Linked DNA regions of Caenorhabditis elegans. The protein of the gene in region 4 purifies or fractionates together with the protein of the main gene of each other region. This does not show direct contact. Each region holds a gene or a part of one and is shown on either strand. Other genes may lie near its edges.

What was found.
Region 1: the proteins of glh-1 (region 4) and pan-1 purify together in Caenorhabditis elegans (affinity purification with western blotting, with the first as the bait; one study listed by BioGRID). This does not show direct contact.
Region 2: the proteins of glh-1 (region 4) and dcr-1 purify together in Caenorhabditis elegans (affinity purification with western blotting, with the first as the bait; one study listed by BioGRID). This does not show direct contact.
Region 3: the proteins of glh-1 (region 4) and pgl-1 purify together in Caenorhabditis elegans (affinity purification with western blotting; 3 studies listed by BioGRID, with this or other methods). This does not show direct contact.

What each region holds. Positions count from the first base shown.
Region 1 is NC_003281.10:4,560,571-4,566,952, reverse strand, and holds pan-1 (P-granule-associated novel protein 1), read right to left. Parts: upstream 4,216-6,382; 5' UTR 4,201-4,215; coding exon 4,081-4,200; intron 4,013-4,080; coding exon 3,954-4,012; intron 3,898-3,953; coding exon 3,774-3,897; intron 3,672-3,773; coding exon 3,328-3,671; intron 3,277-3,327; coding exon 3,056-3,276; intron 2,720-3,055; coding exon 2,507-2,719; intron 2,459-2,506; coding exon 2,307-2,458; intron 2,258-2,306; coding exon 2,128-2,257; intron 1,553-2,127; coding exon 1,284-1,552; intron 1,227-1,283; coding exon 1,074-1,226; 3' UTR 672-1,073; downstream 1-671. Other genes in the region: mlcd-1 (Malonyl-CoA decarboxylase, mitochondrial), read left to right, coding at 40-252, 300-405, 453-543. UniProt on the Caenorhabditis elegans protein: Regulates diverse developmental processes including larval molting and gonad maturation.
Region 2 is NC_003281.10:8,076,935-8,082,047, forward strand, and holds the start of dcr-1 (Death-promoting deoxyribonuclease), read right to left. Parts: upstream 3,348-5,113; 5' UTR 3,341-3,347; coding exon 3,290-3,340; intron 3,245-3,289; coding exon 3,082-3,244; intron 2,988-3,081; coding exon 2,854-2,987; intron 2,809-2,853; coding exon 2,649-2,808; intron 2,584-2,648; coding exon 2,444-2,583; intron 2,392-2,443; coding exon 2,020-2,391; intron 1,588-2,019; coding exon 1,405-1,587; intron 1,361-1,404; coding exon 1,232-1,360; intron 1,188-1,231; coding exon 945-1,187; intron 899-944; coding exon 744-898; intron 676-743; coding exon 309-675; intron 201-308; coding exon 21-200; intron 1-20. Other genes in the region: apc-2 (Anaphase-promoting complex subunit 2), read left to right, coding at 3,718-3,770, 3,814-3,943, 4,078-4,210, 4,256-4,382, 4,426-4,669, 4,715-4,862, 4,912-5,029, 5,076-5,113. UniProt on the Caenorhabditis elegans protein: Component of the ERI/DICER complex which is involved in processing amplified double-stranded RNA (dsRNA) intermediates during small-RNA-mediated gene-silencing or RNA interference (RNAi). Involved in cleaving dsRNA in the RNAi pathway.
Region 3 is NC_003282.8:6,973,897-6,979,107, forward strand, and holds pgl-1 (Guanyl-specific ribonuclease pgl-1), read right to left. Parts: upstream 3,423-5,211; coding exon 3,315-3,422; intron 3,248-3,314; coding exon 3,116-3,247; intron 3,069-3,115; coding exon 2,922-3,068; intron 2,878-2,921; coding exon 2,519-2,877; intron 2,471-2,518; coding exon 2,130-2,470; intron 2,084-2,129; coding exon 1,941-2,083; intron 1,895-1,940; coding exon 1,723-1,894; intron 1,679-1,722; coding exon 1,155-1,678; intron 1,111-1,154; coding exon 721-1,110; downstream 1-720. Other genes in the region: him-3 (HORMA domain-containing protein), read left to right, coding at 3,630-3,831, 3,874-4,087, 4,134-4,306, 4,354-4,640; prkl-1 (LIM zinc-binding domain-containing protein), read right to left, coding at 5,132-5,211. UniProt on the Caenorhabditis elegans protein: Guanyl-specific endoribonuclease which cleaves the phosphodiester bond in single-stranded RNA between the 3'-guanylic residue and the 5'-OH residue of adjacent nucleotide, resulting in the formation of a corresponding 2',3'-cyclic phosphate intermediate.
Region 4 is NC_003279.8:6,852,647-6,858,138, reverse strand, and holds glh-1 (ATP-dependent RNA helicase glh-1), read right to left. Parts: upstream 3,662-5,492; 5' UTR 3,328-3,661; coding exon 3,288-3,327; intron 3,231-3,287; coding exon 2,796-3,230; intron 2,753-2,795; coding exon 2,678-2,752; intron 2,630-2,677; coding exon 1,379-2,629; intron 1,331-1,378; coding exon 1,227-1,330; intron 1,181-1,226; coding exon 999-1,180; intron 951-998; coding exon 746-950; 3' UTR 603-745; downstream 1-602. Other genes in the region: sacy-1 (RNA helicase), read right to left, coding at 4,075-4,194, 4,242-4,438, 4,483-4,730, 4,793-4,911, 5,041-5,214, 5,263-5,335, 5,381-5,492. UniProt on the Caenorhabditis elegans protein: Probable ATP-binding RNA helicase. May act redundantly with the P-granule component glh-4 to regulate the formation of the granular structure of P-granules in embryos. Plays a role in positively regulating the localization of pgl-1 to P-granules.

The DNA.
Region 1 (6,382 bases), on a different chromosome or scaffold from region 4:
CATTTTTAGACAATTGAGTTACTTTCAATGTTTTTTCAGCTTCAATTATGAATGAAAAGGTTGTCAATTGGATTTCTGATATATCTGAAAGGGAAATGAACGAAGTAGAAGCAACCGAAACTCTACTGAAAGTCATAAGCAATGAAAAAACGAAAAAGGAGCAGCTCAATGCAATCCAGCACATTTTGATGTACGCGTGTGCTCATTATCTTTGTAATGCAAAACGAAATGGAATGGCTTTAAATTCAGTTGGTAAGCATGATTTTATCGATAAGCATTGAAAAAAAAATTATTTTAAGCAAACTTCCACATTAGAAACGGCGCAGAGTTGTATAGACTGAATTGGAATGGAGATACGAGTCATAGAGGGATCAATAACAGTTTTGGAATTATGGTAAACTACAGGTATGACTCGGTCGAACCTTTTTTGAGTCTAAAAATTTAATTTTCAGATACGATTTGGAGAAGGTTCACGAGAACAGTGCAGCTTACACTGAACACAAAAAGATGGCGATTAATCAGAAAGTTTTGGATATCTTCTGAATCTTTTCACCCAGCTCCTCATATGTATTCGAGTTTCAAGAATTTAGTCTAGTTAATGTGTCATATTATACTTGTAACAAATTCGTGTGATTGCTTGCCCAGTTTCTTGTGAATAAAATTTTCGAAATTTTAATTACTTAGTGCATTGTTTATTATGTCATAACAATAATATTAATATTAGAAAAATTGGATATTTGACAGGGATCGCGGTGCCTATAGGTACATGTTGAAAACTTGTTCGATGAAGATTTCAAAAAGATCAGTGGTGGATACCTGATAAGTTGGGTGGTTCAGAAGGGGTGAGAGAGAGAAGTATTGAAGAGAGAGATTGAGAAAACAAGAAAAATGAAAGAACACGTATCGAGTTGGGGGTTGGGACGAGAGAAGGAATAGAAAAGAAAACTTTTCAAATGGCTATTTACAGAAGAAGAAAAGCGAAGAAAAATGAGGTATTCAACCGGGGAGAATATGAATTATTATTATCCAGTGAGTGTTTTTTTGTTGATTTGAGGTTATGAAATTTTTCTTCTTTAAAAATTCTGGAATCGTACAGTCTTCTTCGGCCCAGTATTCCTCTTTGGCATTGCTGGAACGACGAGAATTGAGTCAGATGCGATGTTCAATGGATCATTCTCAATCAGTTTATGAAGATCAGAATCAGAACGACGACCGCGAAGTGGGAACTGAAAATTAAATTAAATAATTGTACTTCATTTTCAGCAGGAAAAACTAATATATACCTGGTATCTAGCATCCTTGAAATAAAGCATAGCAATAATGACCATAATAACAATTGTGACAATTGTCAAAATGGTGGCAGCTACAGTAATCCATCCAGATCGATAAACTTCTTCCTCTTCTGGCATTACTGTGGATCCTTCTTTCTGTCCGCAATTTGGGATTGCCAAGCATCCGAGTGCTCCTTCAGCAACATCTGCCTCCTCAGATGCCTCAAGCCATCGTGGAAGCCATTCTTTCGGGTCGTTGCACACGCAAACCCATGGATTCACTGGAATTTGTTTTGTTGTAAACGCGGACAAAATAATTTAAAAAATCTTCGATGCAAATTTATCGTTTACAGATAGATTATTATTTAACGACGACAATTTTTCTTTATCACAAAAACGTGCGCCTTTAAAGAGTACGGTAGTTTCAAATTTTCGTTGCTGTGGAATTTTCATAGATTTTTCATCGCTGTTCGTTTAAAATATATTTGATTATTAAAAAAACTGAAATTACAAAATTTAAAACTCATAAATTTAAACAAAATCTGAGAAAAACTATGAAAAATCGATCCTAGGGCCGCAACAGCAGAAGTTTGAAACTACAGTACTCTTTAAGGACGCACACCTGTTTCTACTTAACAGAAAATGGCCGTGTCGAGACCAAATACCGTATTTTTGACGCAAAAATTGAAAAATGTTGCGATTCATTTAAAAGTGATGATCAATTTGAAACTTTTCTCGTAAGGTAGGTGAATCATCTATATTGAAAATTGTGTAATTATGAATTTAGTTTTCTTTTTTTTTGTTTCAAATGCTGATAAAAACTTATTTTTAAGCACAGATAAAAGCAGATTCTTACATGAAACATCAACCGCCTCCACAGATTTTGGTGAGAATGAGTCAAATGTTCCTTGATACAAATAGTTAAGCTTATTACTGTGTAAATACAATCTCTTGATTTCCATTCCTTCCAATGCGCGAGCCTCGATCTGAAAACACTCTATTGAATGAGAATCTTGAAAATTTCAATGCTCAAACCTTTGAGATGACATTATGATCAAGTGCCAAACTGGACAAAGATTTTGGAAGCTCATCAGAACGGATAACTGAAAGATTATTGGACGAGAGTTGAAGAGTGACAAGTTTCTTGAGAGATGCGAGGAATGGAGTACGGACTTGGGAGGGGGAATCTGGAAAAAAAATTAATTTTTTTTTGAAAATGAAATGTGTTAACTTACGGCTTGAAAGTTCCTCGATTTGATTATATTGGAGAAGAAGTGTGATCAAATTAGGAGTGTGTTGAAATGCTTTTGGACTGATTTGACTTAAATTATTTCTTGCAAGGGATAATGTTTCAATTCTATCAGATCTTGTTAATCCAAACATATCCATATCACCGATTGATTCAATCTTATTGCGATCGAATAGGGCGACAACGAGAGATGGAAGATCTGAATAAATTATTTTTATTCTACGAAAAGGATTATAATTCTATTAAGAATCGTTAGACAAAAATTTTAGTTTCGACCATGTGTAATTTTTTATGTCGACCTTCGATCCTAGCACGAGGAAAACTTTTGATCTACCGTACCCGAGATTATTTTTTAGTTATCTACGATTTTTTAAAGTTTTCAAAATTTATTTATCAATTATTGAGAGAAAATTTCTCCAAACGTAAGATTAAATGTTTTTTTAATTTTTTACGGTATATAAAAAATTTCGATAGGGCCAGGACCCGAGGCCATAATTTTTAGCCTACAAAAACTATTTAAGGTAGAAAAACTAACCCTTCAGCTTAATAGATTTCATTGAATCAATAGTATTATTGTTGAGAACCAATTTCTCAAGTTTTGGGAACGATTTCATCTCAACATTGGAAATCTTGTTTGATCCCAAATCAAGTACACGAAGATTCTTCAAGGCTGAGAAGATTGTCCAGTCAATGTTCTCAAGATTGTTATTTGATAGAATAAGCTGTTCGAGAGAGTTAAGACCACGGAATGCTCCTCTGAAAATATTTGGTTATTGAAATATTATTTTCTTAAAAATTAAACAATACTTTTGAATAATCTCAAGATTGCAATTTTGAAGTGTCAACTTCTTCAAATTCTTCATTCCATCAAATGTTCCAGTTTTCAAAACTCGAATATCATTTTCATTGAGTAAAAGTTCTTCAACTTTTTTCAATTCCTCAAATGCTCCAACATCAATTTCTTGAATCTTATTCATTGCCAAATCAAGAGTTTTGAGACTTTTAAGTCCAGTGAAAAGTCCCTTTTCCAGTTTTTTAATTCTGTTTTCGCGGAGAGATAATAATTCAGCTGATCCTCCAAGGGATTGGAAGGAATTTGGTTGAAGAGTTGAAAGACCACATCGTTCGAGTTTAACTTGTTTAGCGAAGACCTGAAAATTGGATTGATTTAAGTGGGTCTCGCCGCGATGAGAAAAAAGTTAACTAGTGATATACGTTTCTGTCCTGATTGGCATTATTGTAATTCAACTTACATTCTCAAAAAGATCCTGTGGAAGAACATTAACTGTAGAATCTCTTATTGTGAGACGTCCCAATTCTGTGCCATTCAGTGAAGCCAAATTTTCAGATACAGATGCAATTGAAGCGGATTCGCATCTGAAAAGAAAATTTCAGTTTCAAGAAGTTTTATAGTCGAGTAAAATTCAACATACTCTATAGTAAATCCTTTGACCGTGCTGAAAATTCCGTTGTCGGCGCAGATGCATACTGGCTGAAAAGTTACAGGTATTTTCTTGGATATTATCAAACTCCGTCGAGTTAATCGATTCCAAAATTTACCTGTTTGTGTGCATTAAATTCTTCTTTGAATCCTTTCTCAATATCAATACAACTTTTTGTTTCTTCTGAAATTGCTATCCTGGCCAGTGCCAGGAGGACGAAGCTGAGTAAGCTTCGCATTTTATGTCGACGTTTCTGAGAAATGAGGAGATAGGGTTTGATATTTTTGTACTGGCAAAGAAGAAAAGAAGAAAAAAATAAAAAATATTAACGATTCACTCGATGTGGTAGGAATAAGATCGTTGAAACTTGGACGTAAATTCAGGTGATCGTAAAATCTTAATTCACAGAAGCTCGTAATTGAAGACGGAAGGATTTGTTTGAATGGTCATCCGGATGGGTCTCGTCACGAGGAAAGGTTATGGTAGAAAATTAAAAAATCGGAAACTGATTAAGATCTACATATACCAACAAGTATTCGAACGGAGAGCATTTCAAAATATTTCTCACGTTGAAAAAATTGCTCGTCGCCCCCAAACACTAGCACCAAGCGGCCGCCTAAAGTTGGCTATGAAAAAGAAAACATAGATCATGAAAAGTAGTGTTGGAAGTGAAGAGAGTGCGAGGGATGCTGAGAGTACCAGGCTGTGCTGGCGCGCCGGACTGGGCACACTCAAATACAGCTGCAGGAAGAGAAGAGGAGCGGAAGACGATTGAAATGAAGAAGAAGAAGAGGGAGATGAACATTAGTTCTTTTTTTCAATAGATAGTACTAGATAAGAGTAGAGTTTAGAGAAAAAGGTGTCAAGGTGGTTTATCATGACCTTCCAATAAATGAAACTATATCTTTGGGTAACTTACTTTAAGGAATCAGAAAACGGGAAATTACATGTTCTGGAATTATGTCAAGGTTACTAAAGAAAAATGTCTCATTTGGGTCCTGGAACGAGCAAAAAATTCTAGCTACAGTACCCCCGAGAATTTTAGAATAGAAATCAAACAGTGAAAATTTGGAAAAACTTGTAAGTACGGTATTTGTCTGGAAAGTCAGGTTCGTGCCAAGATCCTATGAAGTAATTTCACGTTGAAACCAAACCTATCTTATGAAATTTTTGGGTCTTGTCACGGAAAAAAAGCATGTGATTTTGAATGTTGAATTATCAATTGTTCCTTATTTTAAATACTTCAGAAACTCTTTGTAACCTATGAGGAATCATTGTTGTACTTTCGCGGAGTTTCAGTTGCATAAAAAATTGAATAGTAAAATGTGATTTATTTTCCAGTAACCTTAATACATCACATTTCACGCACAATTTTTAAATAATCGCTCGGAATTTTTTGTTGTTGTAAATATTTACAATTTATTTAAATCATTTTCAAAATCAAACACCAAAACGTTCGCCGGCGTGGTCATTTCAAAATCAGAGTTTCAAATAGAAGAGTTTCAGACAGAAACCATATTGACATAGACAATTTTACTGCCCAATCACTTTTTTCTTCCAAACATACTGATAACGATGCAGAGGTCGGGAATTGTTCAAAAATTCAAATTGCAAAAGTTTCATGGATTTATCGTTATTTCGCGATTTTCTAAGACATACATTTAAAGGTGCATATATTCATTCGGATGGGTCTCGCCGCGGTAAAAGCTTATGGTAGATTTTTTTGTTGTTAAAAATAGTAATTAAAATACAGAATACTTGAACAATATAGTTATAACCGGATAAATTTGCTTGCACATTTAATTTAATTTAATTTAATTTAATTTATTACGATAGTGAGATATCGTGAGGTAGAAAAAAACACATTAACTTCTGAATAAAGAAAAAAATCTGGTTCCACCATAAACATTTTACGCGGCGAGACCCATCAGAATAATAAATCTCGAAATTACGACAGGAGAATTAAAAAATAAATAATTTATCAACTGAACTTGGAAAACAAAATTAATGTTGAAGAATATAATAACTAGCTCATCAAAATAAATTGAAGTTTCTCAATGGAGCGCGATTGAAGAATCTTGAAAAAGCTTGCAAATATGTAATAAAGTATGTTTTAAAATAATAATGCTTTGTTAAGTCGAATTTCGAAAACAAACGCAATAATATCGCCAAAAAACGCAAGCTGGGCACTGGCACCCACGTAGAAATTGCGCAGTCGGCGATTGGAACGAGAAGAAAAAAAGAAGGGAAGCGTGGAGAGAGTGGGAAGGAAAGAGAGACGCAGAGTCCGTGCAAGGCAGTGTCAGGCTGCCCGTCTTGTCGATTATCTCTATATTTTACACACTCTCTCGCCTTTATTTGAAGGCCGAGGTCATTTTCGTGTGCTGTCTGCGTTTCTCAATGAACGGGGTGTGTCTGAG
Region 2 (5,113 bases), on a different chromosome or scaffold from region 4:
TATCAAACAGAAAAATGTACCTTTGGTATCTCTTTTGCGCTCAGAAATCCGAAGCAATATTCATAATTAAATGGATCTTCAAACTTTCGTCTTTTCGGGTTCAACGTAAGTTCGGCTTCCCGGAAACGTTCCAATTCGAATGCATAGATGAAACATTCCTTATCTGCTTCCACGAAGGATTCATTGAGAGCACGAGCAATCTGTAAATTTTTAATTATTTTTACTTAATTATCACTATTACTTTTCCGATAATTAAATTATTTTCATTGAATTGAGCGACTTTTAGAAAATCGAATATACGAAAATACCTTTTTGTCATATAATTGCTTTCGTTTTGATGATCCAACTTTAGCAGCAATTCCAGGTGCATACTCATCCGGCTCCTCATCAATATGTTCTAATAATTTGGCAATCGACTCTCTTCCTTTTGGAAGTAAATTATCATCGAGTTCTCCTTCTAAATGTAATTGTCGACATGCTTCAAGTGCAACTGCCATCTGTGCAGTCTTCTTATTTGGCATTGGATTTTTGAGCACAATTGCATGTTTGATCGGTGAGTTAATTGGAAGAAGAAGCTCTGCACAGTATTTGGTCACTCCATTCTCTTCAATTGGAATGATTTGATTGTGTGGAACAAGACGAGTGAAGATATCGGAAGGAAGCTTCGAACAATATCTGGAAGATTACCAATTGTTTGTATTTAGCTGTTGGATTAAACTTCTAAAGTGAAATTATTAATATACCTATTAATTAATGCGATAGCAGTTGACATTTTCAATGTTGCACCAGTTTTTTCAACAACATATGGTTCCATTTGAGAATCAACATCAAATTCTTCAAATCTATCCGAATCATCTTCAATAGGATTGTTGACTGTACGATGGCGGCTAAGAAGAATCTTAATATCATTTTTTAAACAATTGAACTGAAGATTCCAATATTACTTTTTCTATTTGCTGGAAATCTTTCAAATCACTATCACACGCCGCAGTATCTTTCTCCTCAACAGTGATAACATATCTTGATCCAGCTCGCCGAGCTCTTCCCTTTGACTGAACGTATGATCTCATGTCAAGTGGTCGATCAAATTTAATCACAAGATTACATTGTTTAACATCTACACCTTCTTCAAGCACTGATGTAGCGATAAGACAATTGATTTCATTTCGATGGAAACGGCGAAGAACCTAAAAATTATATTTAGACAATGATAATTTAAACATAAATTTACTTCAGTTTGTCGTTTATGTAATCCTTGACTATCCGAACTCGCCAAATTTCGTCCGCTGGCTCCAACGACGTAATCCGGGTTCACAAACTTGAACTTAGGCTCCCATGATTTAATATGACGCATCATAAGCTGAAAATTTACAATATATTACCGTAACATTCATATAAACCTACAAGTAACGAATATGCAATGTACCGTTGATCGACAAAAATAATGGCTGATAAATGTTCTGCTTTTTCTAACTTCATTCGTTCTTTTTGAAATTCGGGGTTGAAAGTTTCTAGGATTTCGAAAAGACGTATGACACGTTGAGGAACATATGGACGGAGAGCTTCAATACTTTTGATTTTCTTCATCTAAATTGGAAAAAATTGGTGTAATTAATAGTTGATTGCTTACACTGGAAGTTGGAAAATGCTAACTTGGAGTTCAATATAGAATAGTAATTTTAGATTAAAAGTGTTATTGAGGATCATTCCAAAAATTCAGCTGCGTCCGAGCAGTTTCACCCCTTTTGAAAAAACTTTCAACTTAAAAAAAGTGTTTCCAAATATTCGTAAATTGTTTTTAAAAAACATATAGCATTCAAGCTTCAGCCCATAATTCTCAAAAAGCCATGAATTGAGCTACAATCTTACAATTTGAAATCTTGCTCAAGATTTGTAGCTCTCTTGGTGAGTAGGGAGTTACGAACTTTTTCGAATGATAACACTTTTTTGTCGAAAAATTGCTATACCATAACGATACTTCGAGGTACCATTTTCCAACGTCTCTTGTTAGGTACGCACCTCCGGTTCCAACAATCTTTTAATCGTAATCATAGATGTTTTTGCCATATTCAAAAACCGCAACGTCTTATCCGGTAGCACTTGAGATTTTATAATTTTTCCCAACTCTTTCTCCCAAACTTGAGCCGTTCGCCATGCCGCCCAAGGTCCCAGTTGACGAAAAACAGCTCGCGTCGTCTTGAGAGAATCTTTAATCGGTCTACGAGGATCCAAATCTAGATCTGGATGAAATTCTGTTGTGGTGTTCACAAAGGCTACAGTTTCATCAAATATTTCTATAACTGTGTCGAAATTCGGAATACCCAGGCACCCAATTTCAAAGTCTTTGCAGATGATCACAACTTCATAGGGTTTCGCACCGTATTTCGAGAGCTAAATTAGTTTTATTGGAAACAAGTCTTTGTTTGTCTTTTTTAAATCATACCGAGACTAAATCACTAGCTGTCTCTATAACACTGTCCATCGCAGATTCCAACTTTTTTAACTGTTCCATTAGTTTTTCCGGCGCAACTTTCGCTTTGATAAGACTGGCTGTGAGTCCTAATACACGTGGGACGGGTTTGTCTGAAAAAATATTTCCGTATTTTGAAGCGAATTCGAAGTTTCACCATTAATTCCTCAATACTTACCCTTTTTCAATAACTTATAATCGACCATGATGCTTCTGTATGGATGTTGAGAACCGAGAGCATGATGACATTCGTCAAAGATCAGAACACACATGTCTTCAATTTTCAAGTACGCATGTCGAATCAAATCAAGAAGGCATTGAGCTGTGATCACAACAACCTGAAATATATATGCTCGATAGTTCAGCTTCGTATTCTCACTCACATGGTGCCTCTTCATGAACTGATCACATTGTTCTTTGCTGTCCCATAAACCACTACTTGTCTGTCCGTGGACCTGACCAACTTTGAAACTTGTGTGAACTTCGATGTGGATAGCTTGTTGTTCAACGAGGTTTACTGGAAAAAATGATGTTTTAGAATAAATCTTGTTTTTTTTTGTCAATTATTCACTTTACTGGCCAGCTGGCTTATTTTTAATAGACGAAATTACCTTTCTCTACAACAAAAAACGCTCGTTTTCCACCCTGATCCAATGGTGCAAACAATTGAACTCCATATTCTTTCAGCAGTAGAACTGCAATGAAAGTTTTTCCTGAACCAGTGCCTAGTTGGACGATTGTGTTCTTTTTTGTCGCTTTATCCAAAAGTTCCACCTGAAAATCGATTATTTTTAATTTATTTTGCTACTTAAAAATTACCTGGTAGTCCCTGGGGTTAAAACATTGTAAATCAGCTCTTACCCTGACCATTATTGGTCTGAAAACAGGGAAAATTGATAATGTTCAAAAATTACAATAAAAAATAATTGCCGCTGACTGCCCCGTAGTATGCGCTCTACTGAACCAATGTCTATGTCTCTTTCATGGGAACATTCAAAAGACGGAGGAAAAGTGGAATCGACAGAAATTTGAAAGAAAATACTCTGAAAAATCGTGTGAAAAAAAAGAAACAAACATTTTTTCGTATAATTTTTAAAGGAACATTTATTCGCGGTTTTTGTGGAAATGTAGTTTCCGAGACCCCAACCTTCGTTTTAAGCATGATCCTTTAATATATACAGTTTCTCACACATTTGTCATCGTTCTCTTCTCGTATCCTTGCTGAAATTATTTTAACCATTTCGAAAATGTCCATTTTTGACAGAATGACTACTTCGAAAGAGGCTGCGATGAAGTACAGGTATGGAATTTTTGAAAATGAGTTCCGTAAAGACAGTTTTCAGACAATTTTGCGTCTCAAAGAAAAAAGAAGTCTGGGATGCTCTGATATATCACGCAAAATACGCAAAAAATATTGAAAAAGTTTATGATATGACGACAGTTCTGCAACGAGTACAGCAAGAATGCCTGATGGTGAGTTTTAAAATTTTTAAATCCAATCAAGAACAAATTAGCCTTATTCTCAATTAAATGCTCTGAAAAATCTTCTCCTTATGGAAAACGGTCAGAAAATAGAGGTGTAACAAGCTAATGGAAAATAATTTCAGTTTGCATTGGAAAAAGGCGTTGGTCAACCGGATATTCGCGATGCTGCAGAGCTCATCTTCCCACTGGCCATGCAGAAAGTTGTTATCAAAGTTCTCAGACCTTATTTTATGTCGCACTTCACTAATTACAGACGTATTTTTTTTTCATTCAGCCCCAGTTTCCAATAACATTTTTCAGTTGCCATGTACCTTCCTCATCGAAAAATCGATCATGGAATCGATTTAAACCAAGAGCTGTGGACACCAGAAAAAAAAGAAATATGCGGGCAATATGTTCAAGATTTTAATCCTTTTGTCAATGAATTGTGGGTAAAGCCTGACTTCCTAAATTATATATAACATTTTCAGAAAAACTGGAATTCTCAATGCAAATCGTCACATGAACGCAGCACTTTCAGTGTATATTCGCGAGCTTGCTGCAACATTGGTGATGCACGAGAAAGCGGCTTTTGACAATGAGCTGAGATGTTCAATGTTTCAAGAAATTATGGAGAGTCTGAGGATTTGGTCAGATCAAGTAACAATGCAAGACGCATTCCATTTAATTAGTGACACTATTTACAAAGATGTCTTCCAAATGCTTTCCAAAAACGTGAGTTTTTAAAAAAATTTGGAACCTAAAAAATATTTTTTGTAGGCATATGAAATGATCGCCGTAGATTTTCCAGTAAAATTTCGCAGTCTCATCACAATGAAATATTGCCTTTTGAGAACTAATAATCATGGGAGAGTCGATTTCACAAATTACTTGATAGATCAAGTTAACACAAAACTTCTTGTTGCATGTAAGTTGGTGAGGGGAATTATTTAAAACTTAAATATTTAAAATTTCAGCGGTTGATACAAAAGACATTTTGAAAGCTTATGCGGCGTGCGTAGAATCTCTTCGTGAAATGGACAATAGTTGCGTGGTTATGCATAAAGTTTGTGGAGTTATCAGAGAATATTTGAAGTAAGCTATTTCCTGATTGTTTAATTATATTTAATTTTTTTTTCAGAAGGCGACCTGACACTGTACAACAAATTATCAGTTACA
Region 3 (5,211 bases), on a different chromosome or scaffold from region 4:
TCTCTAGTAGTCTTGCGTTAACTTTTTTGTATTGCAAACCCGTCTCGCTAATTTTAGGATTTCAACATTTTTTTGCCTATTTTGCAACAGTTTTCACATCATTTCTACGAGATCGAAGTTTTTGAACTTATATGAAAATCAAATTTTCTGAATTTTTACATATGATTCGAGCTTTTTCAGGAAAAAACTAGTAAGCTCAAAGTCAGAAAATGCTCTGAAAATTAGTATTGCACTCCCTAATAGTCTTGCATTCCCTATTAGTATTGCAAGCGGGAAGACCATCGAAAAATAGTATTGCAGCCATATTAATAGAAGAAATACGGTATTTGTTATGTTCGAATGCAGATGTCTCATAACGATTTACAACTCTAATATGCGTAAATGTATGATAAGATCAGTTGAAATTGTATAAGAATGCATGCAGTGCCACCTGTTAATTTTATGATCCACCAATCATTCGGCACCGTCGATTCAGACATCACTTTTCTCATCAAGCCGCAGAAAGAGATATACGTGTAATTAATTGAGTTAATTTCTTGCAACAATCTAGTTCAAACATTTACCGGGAACAAGGAAAAACAGGTTGAATAAATAATAAATGACAGTCAAGGTTTTAGGGATTTTACAACAAGATTGTTAGAATAAATAATGTGCGTAAAACGTGTAAGTATACAAGAAGTGTATACTTAAAAAACAAATTAAACATTCAATAGTTGGAGTTTAGAAACCTCCGCGTCCACCACGACCCCCGTAACCACCACGTCCACGATCTCCGCCGTATCCACCTCGTCCTCCGCGGTCTCCCCCGCCGTATCCACCTCTACCTCCACGATCTCCGCCGTATCCACCTCTGCCTCCACGGTCTCCACCGCCATATCCTCCGCGACCACCTCCTCCTCCATAAGCTGAACTGGTGGGAGCAAATTGACCGAATCCTTTTGCAACTTTGGCTTCCCCAAATCCACTGACTTTGTATTGATTAGTCGGGGCAGGAAGAGGCATTGGAGTAGCGTCGCCTGACCCCCATGCAGTTTCAGCACGAGCTTGTGGTTGTGGTGTAGAATCTTTGTCAGCAACTGTGGTTTCCTCTTCATCTATCTGCTGCATGCCCTGAAAGAAATATTTTTATAATTCTGAAACGATGAACGCGATACCGGTGGCAGAGCTACTGATTTCGTTGGAGAATCCCAGCCATCGGTGGAAAAACTTGGCGCTACTTCTGGCGAAGCACTTGAAGAAGTATCTTGATTGGCATCCGAAGCCATCTCGATCTCGTTAACTGTTTGCTGTTGTTGTGCATCGTTAACCTTTTCTGGGACAGGATCGACCGCTTTTACAGTAACACCTTCTCCAATGTTTCTTGATGAGCTTAGCAAAGTCGAAGAATCCACTTCGTCACAAGAAATCTCCTGAAGACTGAGTGAATCCTTTGAATCGACAAGTAACCCGGAAGAATTGGTATCACTGAGACCGTTGAGAACTTGAGCTTTAGTATTTACGCTGTATGTGTTGTGAACCGTCGTCATTTCCTCTTTCGTGTAGGCGGAATCCTGCTGTTGGGAAGTGGATGGTTGCACATTGCTCTTTCTGCCACTTGGTGTATCGGACAAACAACACTTCTCCAGTGATTCAACAATTCGAGTGACATGAGTCTTCGAGTTGATTCCTTGAACAAATTCTGAAATTAAAAAGTTAACAGGAGATAAAAAAAGGAATATTCACTCTTGAAGCTATCGACGAGAAGATTTTTTGAAGTGGAATCCAAGAAACGAAGCTCGCCCAGCGCTTCAGTCTCATTCTCGGATCCGTAAAACTCTGTAAGCCACAGTGCAAACTGTAGAGCTTTATTCACATTATCGATCACCGCATCATTGTTTAGTGGACTCTGAGGAATCTGAAAAACGGTCATGTAAGTAATGTTTATAGAATCATTAACTCACCAGTGGAACGGGCTTATCGAAGCATTGCTCTAGAATTGAGACTTGGAACTTCTTGATAAGTTCCGCAATGGCTCGTCTTTTCCAGGCGCTCTCCAAGTCTTTCGCGACTCCAACAACATCCCAATCCTCAAAAGACTTCTTAGCTGAAATATTTAGATTTTAAAAGTAAACAAAGACGAAAATACTAACATCCTAAAAGAACTTGGATGATGTGATTGCCGAGGAACACCGCACTCTTGTAGACACTTCTTTGCAATCCTGGAAAGACTTCCGCTCTGACACTCGTAGGAATCCCAGAGAGGATTTTCTTGGAAACCTCGCGCTTTCCATCTGCAAGTGAACGAACGATAAGGAAAAAGAGCTGATATCCGAGTTGAGATCTCAAGACAAGTGACTCGTCTCCTTCATTTTTACTCGCTTCCTCGAAAAGTTGAGCGATATGGTTCACAACTTTCCCAACAGACTCTTCGAGTGGATCCATGAGGAGACTAATGAATGGATCGGCAGGTTCAGATTTCGGACCATCCAACCTAAATTGAAAAAAAAAATCGAATTATTTTGAAAAGGACAACAATTACATCAACTGTTTCAACAACGGCTTGCAGCTATCAAATGCGTTGACGACGTTATCACGGATAATGTCGACCTCGTCGCTAGTCTCCTCAGAGATAAGTCCGAGGATTTTAGTTAGGACATAAACATCAAAGTCCAGATCCAGTTGGCTGACAAGTTCCGTGAGCTCAACAAACTTTTCGGCGGCATCATCGATTGCGATTACTTTGAGAAGAGCTTGAAGAATCTTAGCGTCTTCAGTCTTCTTCAGCTTGGCCTTACGGGCGAGCATTCCGAGCTTCTTGTCGTCATCGATGACAGAAACCAGATCATGAGCATGTCCCAATCCTGACAATTTCTCAGCAGCAGCATCAAATTTCGGACGCTAAAACGTTATAATTGATTACAATAAGTTTAATTCACACTTACAAATTTATCTCCGAGAAGAAGACAAACGTCCATGCCAGCAGCAATAACGGCAGCGTTAGCGTCGTTCGGCAAGATCATCTCCAAAATGTCTTCGTCTCCAGGAGCGTCTTTGGAAGCTCCCAACACGAAAGCAGCCAACTTATTGGCCTGAAATTGAATAATAGAAAATCGGTCTTTAAATATTATAGTCCAACCTGAGATGTATTGTTGAACAGTTCTTCGTCATTCTTCGTGATGTAGTGGGCCAAATTTGGGAAAAAGTAGGATCTCAGCCCACCGAAATCCACAATTTCTCGCTTGTTAGCCTCCATGTGAAATGGATGAAACTGAAATAAATATTTAAATTTTTAAAAAATTTTTCGAGATTAGAATTCAAAAAAACGCAAAATTTACCCAAAAAAGTAAGAAAACGGAAAAGAAAATTGGGACGAGATCGAAATTGCAACTTCCGCGTTCGCGTCGAGTTGTTCGTTTCGAGACCCGTAGATCTGAAACTTCCATGCGCCTTTAATAATTTCTAAGTTTCTGAACTATTTCCAGATTTATTTTACCTATTTTCTAGTTTTTTTTTTCAAATCAAAATATGTTTAATCAATGCGGGGTTTTATAATTAAATAATATGTTTAACTTGTTATAGATTTTATAGATATTATTTTTTAAACATTTTAATTTGTTTCACGATGATATTTCAGTAATTGTAGGTTTGCGATGGCGACGAAAGAGCAGATTGTTGAGCACCGCGAGTCTGAAATTCCTATAGCCAGCCAGTGGAAGGCCACGTTTCCCGTTGATCTAGAGATTGAAAAAAATTCTGAAATGTTTGCGCTTCGCTACATAAAATGTGCTTCGGCCTTCATTCTCGATCGCCGTGGCATTTTGGACGAAAAATGCTTCAAAACTCGAACAATAGGTATGGCTTATTTTACAATGTATCACAAATATTTTTATACAGATAAACTGTTGGTCACCGCATTCCAGAGCAGTGTTCCTGCCGCAAAGCGTGTGTCTTCAACATTCGACGGATTGAGAGATGCGATTCAACAAGGCTATTTGCGAGAGTTCGCAATCGTGTTCTACAAGAAGCCAAACGAGGAAGACATTAATGAAGTGTTTGCGTTCAGGTTTGCTTATGGAGATGAAGGAGAGATTTTCGTATCTCTAAATAAGTAAGCTGCTGGTCTTATTCAATTATTCGTTTTCAATTGTTTTCAGCGGAATCGACACGAACGAAAGCAGTCAAGAACTGTTACAGGCGAAATTCGTTGATACCGACAACACGAAACAAATGTTTGCAAGCACAATCAAGAAACTTCACCGGTGTATCAAGAAAATGGAGCCGCTTCCTCAAGGGTCCGACGCGAGTTTCCGTGTTTCGTACACTGAAAGTAGGTTACATTCACAGCTTTAGTCTATTTCTAACTGTTATTTTAAGAAGCTCCAAAAGACTATACACCCGAAGGCTATCTGCTGAGTCCTATGTTCTATACGCTGAATCAGGATATTAGGAAAGCATCTATTGGAATCGTGTGTGGCGGTCATCACAAAATTCAAATGCTTGCTGCTTCACAATACTTGAAGCAAGACTTCGATCTGGATAAAACGACCACACTCAATCCAAATATGTCAATCATGGCAAACCAATCGAAAAGGAAGGGACGAATTTCCAGAGATTCCCCTTACGGTCTCAGTCAGGGCATTACGAAGAAGAATAAGGACTAGTCGAAAAGTTTTCACTCATGTGCAATGTTTCTCTTGTTTTATATTTTTAGCCATTGTTTTTATAATTTCATTGATTGTCGTGCTTTTGTCTTCTCTTGTGTGATATCAATCTATCTTCTTCACGTATAGTTTCATCTGTTTGATTGAGTTATTTTTCTTTCACTGTAAGTCTGGTGTTTCGTAGATTTAGAAAAAAGTAGCGTAATAAATTATTTTGAAATGGACCAAACATTCAAATCCAGTTCAGATAAATTTATTTCATTGAAGCAGTGTTGGAATTCGGACAAATGAGAAGTGAATATTCATTTGAAATAAGTTTTACATTACTTGCACTGTTGGCTGGGTGTTAAAAATAGGTTCAATATTGAATTAATAAAATGGGACAATTCACCGTGCAGAAAAAAACGAAGGAAAAGGCTTAAAATTGAAGAAGAAGTATAAAAGAATCACATGGGCTTTTCAGGAATTCAGTAAATGTTTGGACAAGTATATCAAGATACTGTACATCTGGAACTTTTCTTTTTCTTTGCCATTCGAACACCGCCTCCCGACATCATCATTGGTTCATTTT
Region 4 (5,492 bases):
CGGAATAGAAAATGTGCACTTATTTAAGAAAAAATGAGATGACGACTTGCAGATAGGAGCTGAAAACATTTTCGCAAAAAATTGTATGTTACAGTACCCCTCTCGCAGTGGGACCCCACCACGTGCTACTGAGAATACACCTTACTACAGTATTACTAAAAATATATTTGAAGAAATTGATAGACAAGCACACAGGAAATGCCACAGCGAAACAGAAACTAAGCATCATCTCTTCCTCTTTTCCCTAATACTCTTCTTCTCAAACTCTATTTCCTGATTGTGATCACTGAGCAAACCGTAAATGGAATGGCAAAGCCAACAGAAAAAATACGGGAGCAAAAAAGCAGGTGAGAGGAAAGCGAAAAAACGAATGTAAATCGACCGGAAATGAGCGAGTGAGAGAAGAGCAAAAAAGAAAATAAATAAAGAATTGAGCCTAAAGTTTCTGTATGCGGAAAAATGCTCGCCGCGGAGAATCGGAAAACAAATTATTGAAGTTGATTAGCTGAGAGAGCAATGTGATATGAGATCATATTGCCTAGTTTGCTTGTTAAAATTCTTTTCATTTAATATGCAACTAATAGTTGAAGTCGTGAACAGCATGATATTGAACAGAGTTTATGCGGCGAGGACTATAACGACAACCAACACCAACAAATACAATTAAAAATCAACAAGGGCAGGATAAAATATGGGGGAACTGACAGCATTAATAAATGCGAAACACTATCAATTGGTCGGTTTTCTACCAGCCTTCTTCATCTTGAGGGACTTGAGTTGGTACACTGGACCCAAATCCACTAGCTCCGTAATTGCCTCCAGCAGCACCTTGCATCCAGTCTGGAACAATCTGTTGTGCGTCGGCGAGAACACCAACAAGTTCGGACAGAAGACTGCAATCCTCCGAGATGAAGCTTGTAGCTCTTCCAGAGTTTCCAACTCTTCCAGTTCTGAAAACAATGCTTGCATTATTGAAACATTAATAAAATATAACTGACCTTCCGATACGATGGATATAGTCATCAATGTTGTCTGGCATGTCATAGTTGATGACATGATCCACTCCTTTGATATCAAGTCCACGTTCAGCGACCGCAGTAGCAATAAGAACAGGTTTCGATCCATTTCGGAATTGTCTCAAAGCTTCTGAACGCTCTCTCTGCTCACGGGCACCATGGATCTGTACATTTTGAATTAAAAAGCGGTCAAAAATGAAATATACCAACCGTGATAGCTGGAACTTGAGCCGATGACAAAATTGAAGCCAGTGTATCAGCCATTGCTCTTTGAGAAACGAAGACCATGGTTTTCTTTGTGTAAACTTCGGCACCTGAAATATTGAAATTTATTTCATCAAATAAGAAAACGAAAAACTCACTTTTCTCGGTCGTGTAACTGTCGATATCGATTCCCAGAAGCTCTAGAAGTTTGTCCTTCTTCTCGCTTCTTTCGCATCTCTCGAATTCCTGTAGGACGCACTTGTTTGCAGCTCCAATCTTGTCGATTGCAATCATCACGTAGTTTTCTCTGAGAAAAGCGCGAGCTGCTTCCTGTACAGAATCGGGGAAAGTGGCACTGAACATGAGTGTCTGGCGATTTTCTTTCCTCGGCATACTGTCATAATTGACAATAGTTTCGATGTCAGTTCCGAATCCCATAGCATCGATCATACGATCAGCCTCGTCAAGAACAAAGAAGCGGCATTTGTCAAGCTTGATGGTACCCTCTTCACAGAAGTGCTTGATTCTTCCGACAGTTCCGACAATGATCGTGGCTCCCTTTTCGATCTGACCCTTATTATAACCGACAGCCAATCCTCCGTAAACTGGTTTGATCTCCATCATTGTTTGATAAGCAAACTTTCTTCCCTCGTTGTAAATTTGATCAGCGAGTTCGCGAGTTGGAGTCAAGATGATGCAACGGGGATAGCAACCGCCTTCTCCGGCAGTGTTCAGATTATTATCGTCAATGAGACGAGTCATGATAGGCAGAAGGAATGCAGCGGTTTTTCCTGATCCAGTTTGAGCACAAGCCATGATATCATATCCCTGATGAACAAGTGGAAGAGCATATTGCTGAATTGGAGTGGTCTTGGAGTATCCAGCATGAGCAACGTTTTTCTGCATGGTCTCCGTGAGATTAGCTTCCGCGAATGTCTTGCAAGGTTTGATACCGACAGTCTTCTCGGATGAAGTCAGTTTAACTTCGGCATCGAAAAACTTGTTGAACATAAGGCCTTCCGAAATTTTCTGCATGTTGAAAACGTCCTCCATGTTGTCTTCGACTGGCACGTATGTCGCCTTAGGTCCTTCTCCTTCAACACCTTCCCTTGGCTTGGCTGGATTGGGGCACTCATTCGAGCGATGACCTTGCTCGCCACAATTGAAACATCCACGGGGTGGCTCCGGACATTCAGCAGAGCGATGTCCCTCGCCTTTACAGTTGAAACATTTCATTGGACCACGTTCTTCGCCTCCACCAAAACCACCGTCCCCACCGAAACCGTCATTTCCTCCATTGTTTCCAAATCCAGCTCCGCCCCCGAATCCACCAGTGCGACCCTCACGCGGCTTGCGTTCTTCTGTACATTCACGAGAGGTGTGCCCGGGTTGCTGGCAATTGTAGCACACTGAAAATAAAACAAATTACTGCCAATAAAGTTATATCAAAATAAAACCTCTCGGCTCTCTTTCCTTTCTCGGCTCTGGACAGTCACTCGATCGATGTCCTGGCTGTTGGCAATTGAAACAATCTGAAACAAACGTAATTATATAAAGTCAATTTAAAAAACGAACTATTGTTTCTCTCTCCGCCGCCATGTCCTCCTTCCCCAAAACCAGAGTTGCCACCTCCAAAGGATCCTCCTCCACTTCCGAATCCAGTTGCACTACCTCCAAAGCCACCTGATCCTCCAAATGCACTTGATTTTTCACCGCTTCCAAATCCAGATGTGGCAGTACTACCACCGAATCCAGAACTGGCTCCTCCATACGGCGATCCTCCTGTACTGCCTCCACCGAAGCCGGATCCACAAGTATTTCCACCTCCAAATCCAGAACCGCCAGTCTTTCCTCCACCGAATCCAGATCCGCCAGTGTTTCCTCCACCGAATCCAGATCCGCCAGTGTTTCCTCCACCGAATCCAGTACCTCCATTTTTACCACCACCAAACCCAGATCCTCCATTGTTACCACCACCGAAACCGCCTCCACTACCGAATCCAGTTTTGGCTGAAATAAAGTTTTTAATCAAAATAAAACCGGTGGAAAGTTCAAAATAAAACTCACCCTTAGCAGCACTTTCGCTATCACTCCAACCATCAGACATTTTCGCAGAAAATTAAGATTTTTCCAGAAAATTGAGTTGAAAACAGCAAAAAGAATTAGGAACTGTCCCAAAATTTAGTAGATGAGTGTGTCGAGGTTACTGTAGTTGGGGCGCGTGGCGAAACCTAAACGGTGTGAAAGTCTGTGTTCCTTTAAAGAATCGACTCTTTAAGAGGCACCACGGTTTCAAGATCTGATGGGATTCCGGATCTACGTTTTCCGGATCTACCATTTCCGGATCTACGTTTTCCGGATCTACGTTTTCCGGATCTACGTTTTCCGGATCTGGCACCGTGCCAACGCACAAAACGCTTTTCAACGCACGACTTTTTTCGAAATTTTCTTCTAGAAGAAACGCTTAACAACACGCGACGCGTAACATCGGAGCGTCGTTGTCACTTTTTTCTTCGAAAAAATAGCGTTTTAAGAGTTTGCACGGTGCCAGATCCGGAAAACGTAGATCCGGAAAACGTAGATCCGGAAATGGTAGATCCGGAAAACGTAGATCCGGACTCCCATCAGATCTTGAAACCGTGGTGTCTCCTTTAAAAAAAAGAATTTTGAGAATGCATTTAATTCATTTTTCTTTTTCAATGAACTCGATCAATTAATTATTTTCATGTTTTCTCGGAAATCCAGACTTTTTTTAAACATGAAATAAATAGTACAATTCTGACAAATATTTTTATAAATGTAAACAAGAAAACAGTAAATAAATAGATTGAGATACAATGTATGAATAAAATAATCAGAAACCACCATCGTCGCCTCCACCTCTTGCCAATGCTTGCGTCGTTTTGTTTCCGATTCCAGCGAGTTTTGGACAATCTGTGATGCGATGACCCAGACCGGAGCAGTATGCGCATCCCTGAAAACATGTTGAACTTCCCGATTTTCTAAATGTTTTCTAACTACCTTTTCCGCATTTGTGCCAGCTGGAGCAGTTCCCTCCTCGTCACCAGCCAACATTTTGAGAAATTCTGGAAGTTCCTGCCCTGCTTCTGCGAGTAATTGTTTCAAGTCGGAAAGCACTGACATCTCCGATTTTTTGTTGATAAATGTCGTTGCGAGACCTTTCCGTCCGGAACGTCCGGTACGACCAATTCGATGAACTGAAAATAAAAATTCAATTATGAAAAATAAATAAGAAATTCACCATAGTTCTCAATATCTTCAGGCATGTCAAAATTGATAACATGTTCAATTCCTTGGAAATCGAGTCCTTTTGATGCAACATCTGTTGCCACAAGTACATCTTTCTCATTTTTTCGGAATGCCTCAATTCCAGCATGACGGTCACTTTGATCTTTTCCTCCGTGAATTGAAGCAACTTCAACTCCTTTTACAAGCAAGTACTCGTAGATATTGTCAACGTCAACTTTCTTTTCGGCAAAAATCAAAACTCTGAAATATAAAACCGTTGCCATATTTCTAAATTAATTATTTTCTGATAAATAAAATCTTACTTGGGAGAAGTCTTTTGAAGGCATTCAAGTACACGAACCAATTTGTTTTCTGATCGAACAAACTCAAGCTCCTGGAGTACGTTCAATGAAGCAGCACCCGCACGTCCAACATTTACGACCTAAAATATTTATAATTTACAGACAAACTCCTGAAAAATTATTCTTTAAGAATTGAAGAATGACAACTTTTGGGAGTAGGTTAAAAAATTATATTTTTGAAACTTCTCGATTGCATAAATAAAACTTACAATAGGTTTGACCAGTGCTGATTTTGCGAAAAATTGAATCTTTCGTGGCATCGTAGCCGAGAAAAGGAGAGTTTGCCGTTGAGCTTTGAAGAAATAGAAAATTGATTTAATTTCATCTTCAAATCCCATATCAAGCATTCGATCAGCTTCATCTAGAACTAAGTAACGGCAAACCTGTAATAAATTGAAGCAATTTTTGAAATCTTTGAAGTTATGTCTTACTTCTAAATTTATAATTTTCTTGGTAAGCATATCAGATAGTCGTCCTGGTGTCGCAACAACAATATGAATACCACTGAAAATAATGAAAATCATAAAATTCGAAATTCTAATCACTCACTCTCTAACGTCTTTAGCTTGTTCGCCAATTGGGACTCCTCCAATACATAATCCAGCTCTCATTTCTGGAAGTCCAGCTTTTCCAAGAGCATCAAACATTTCAATGATCAGGT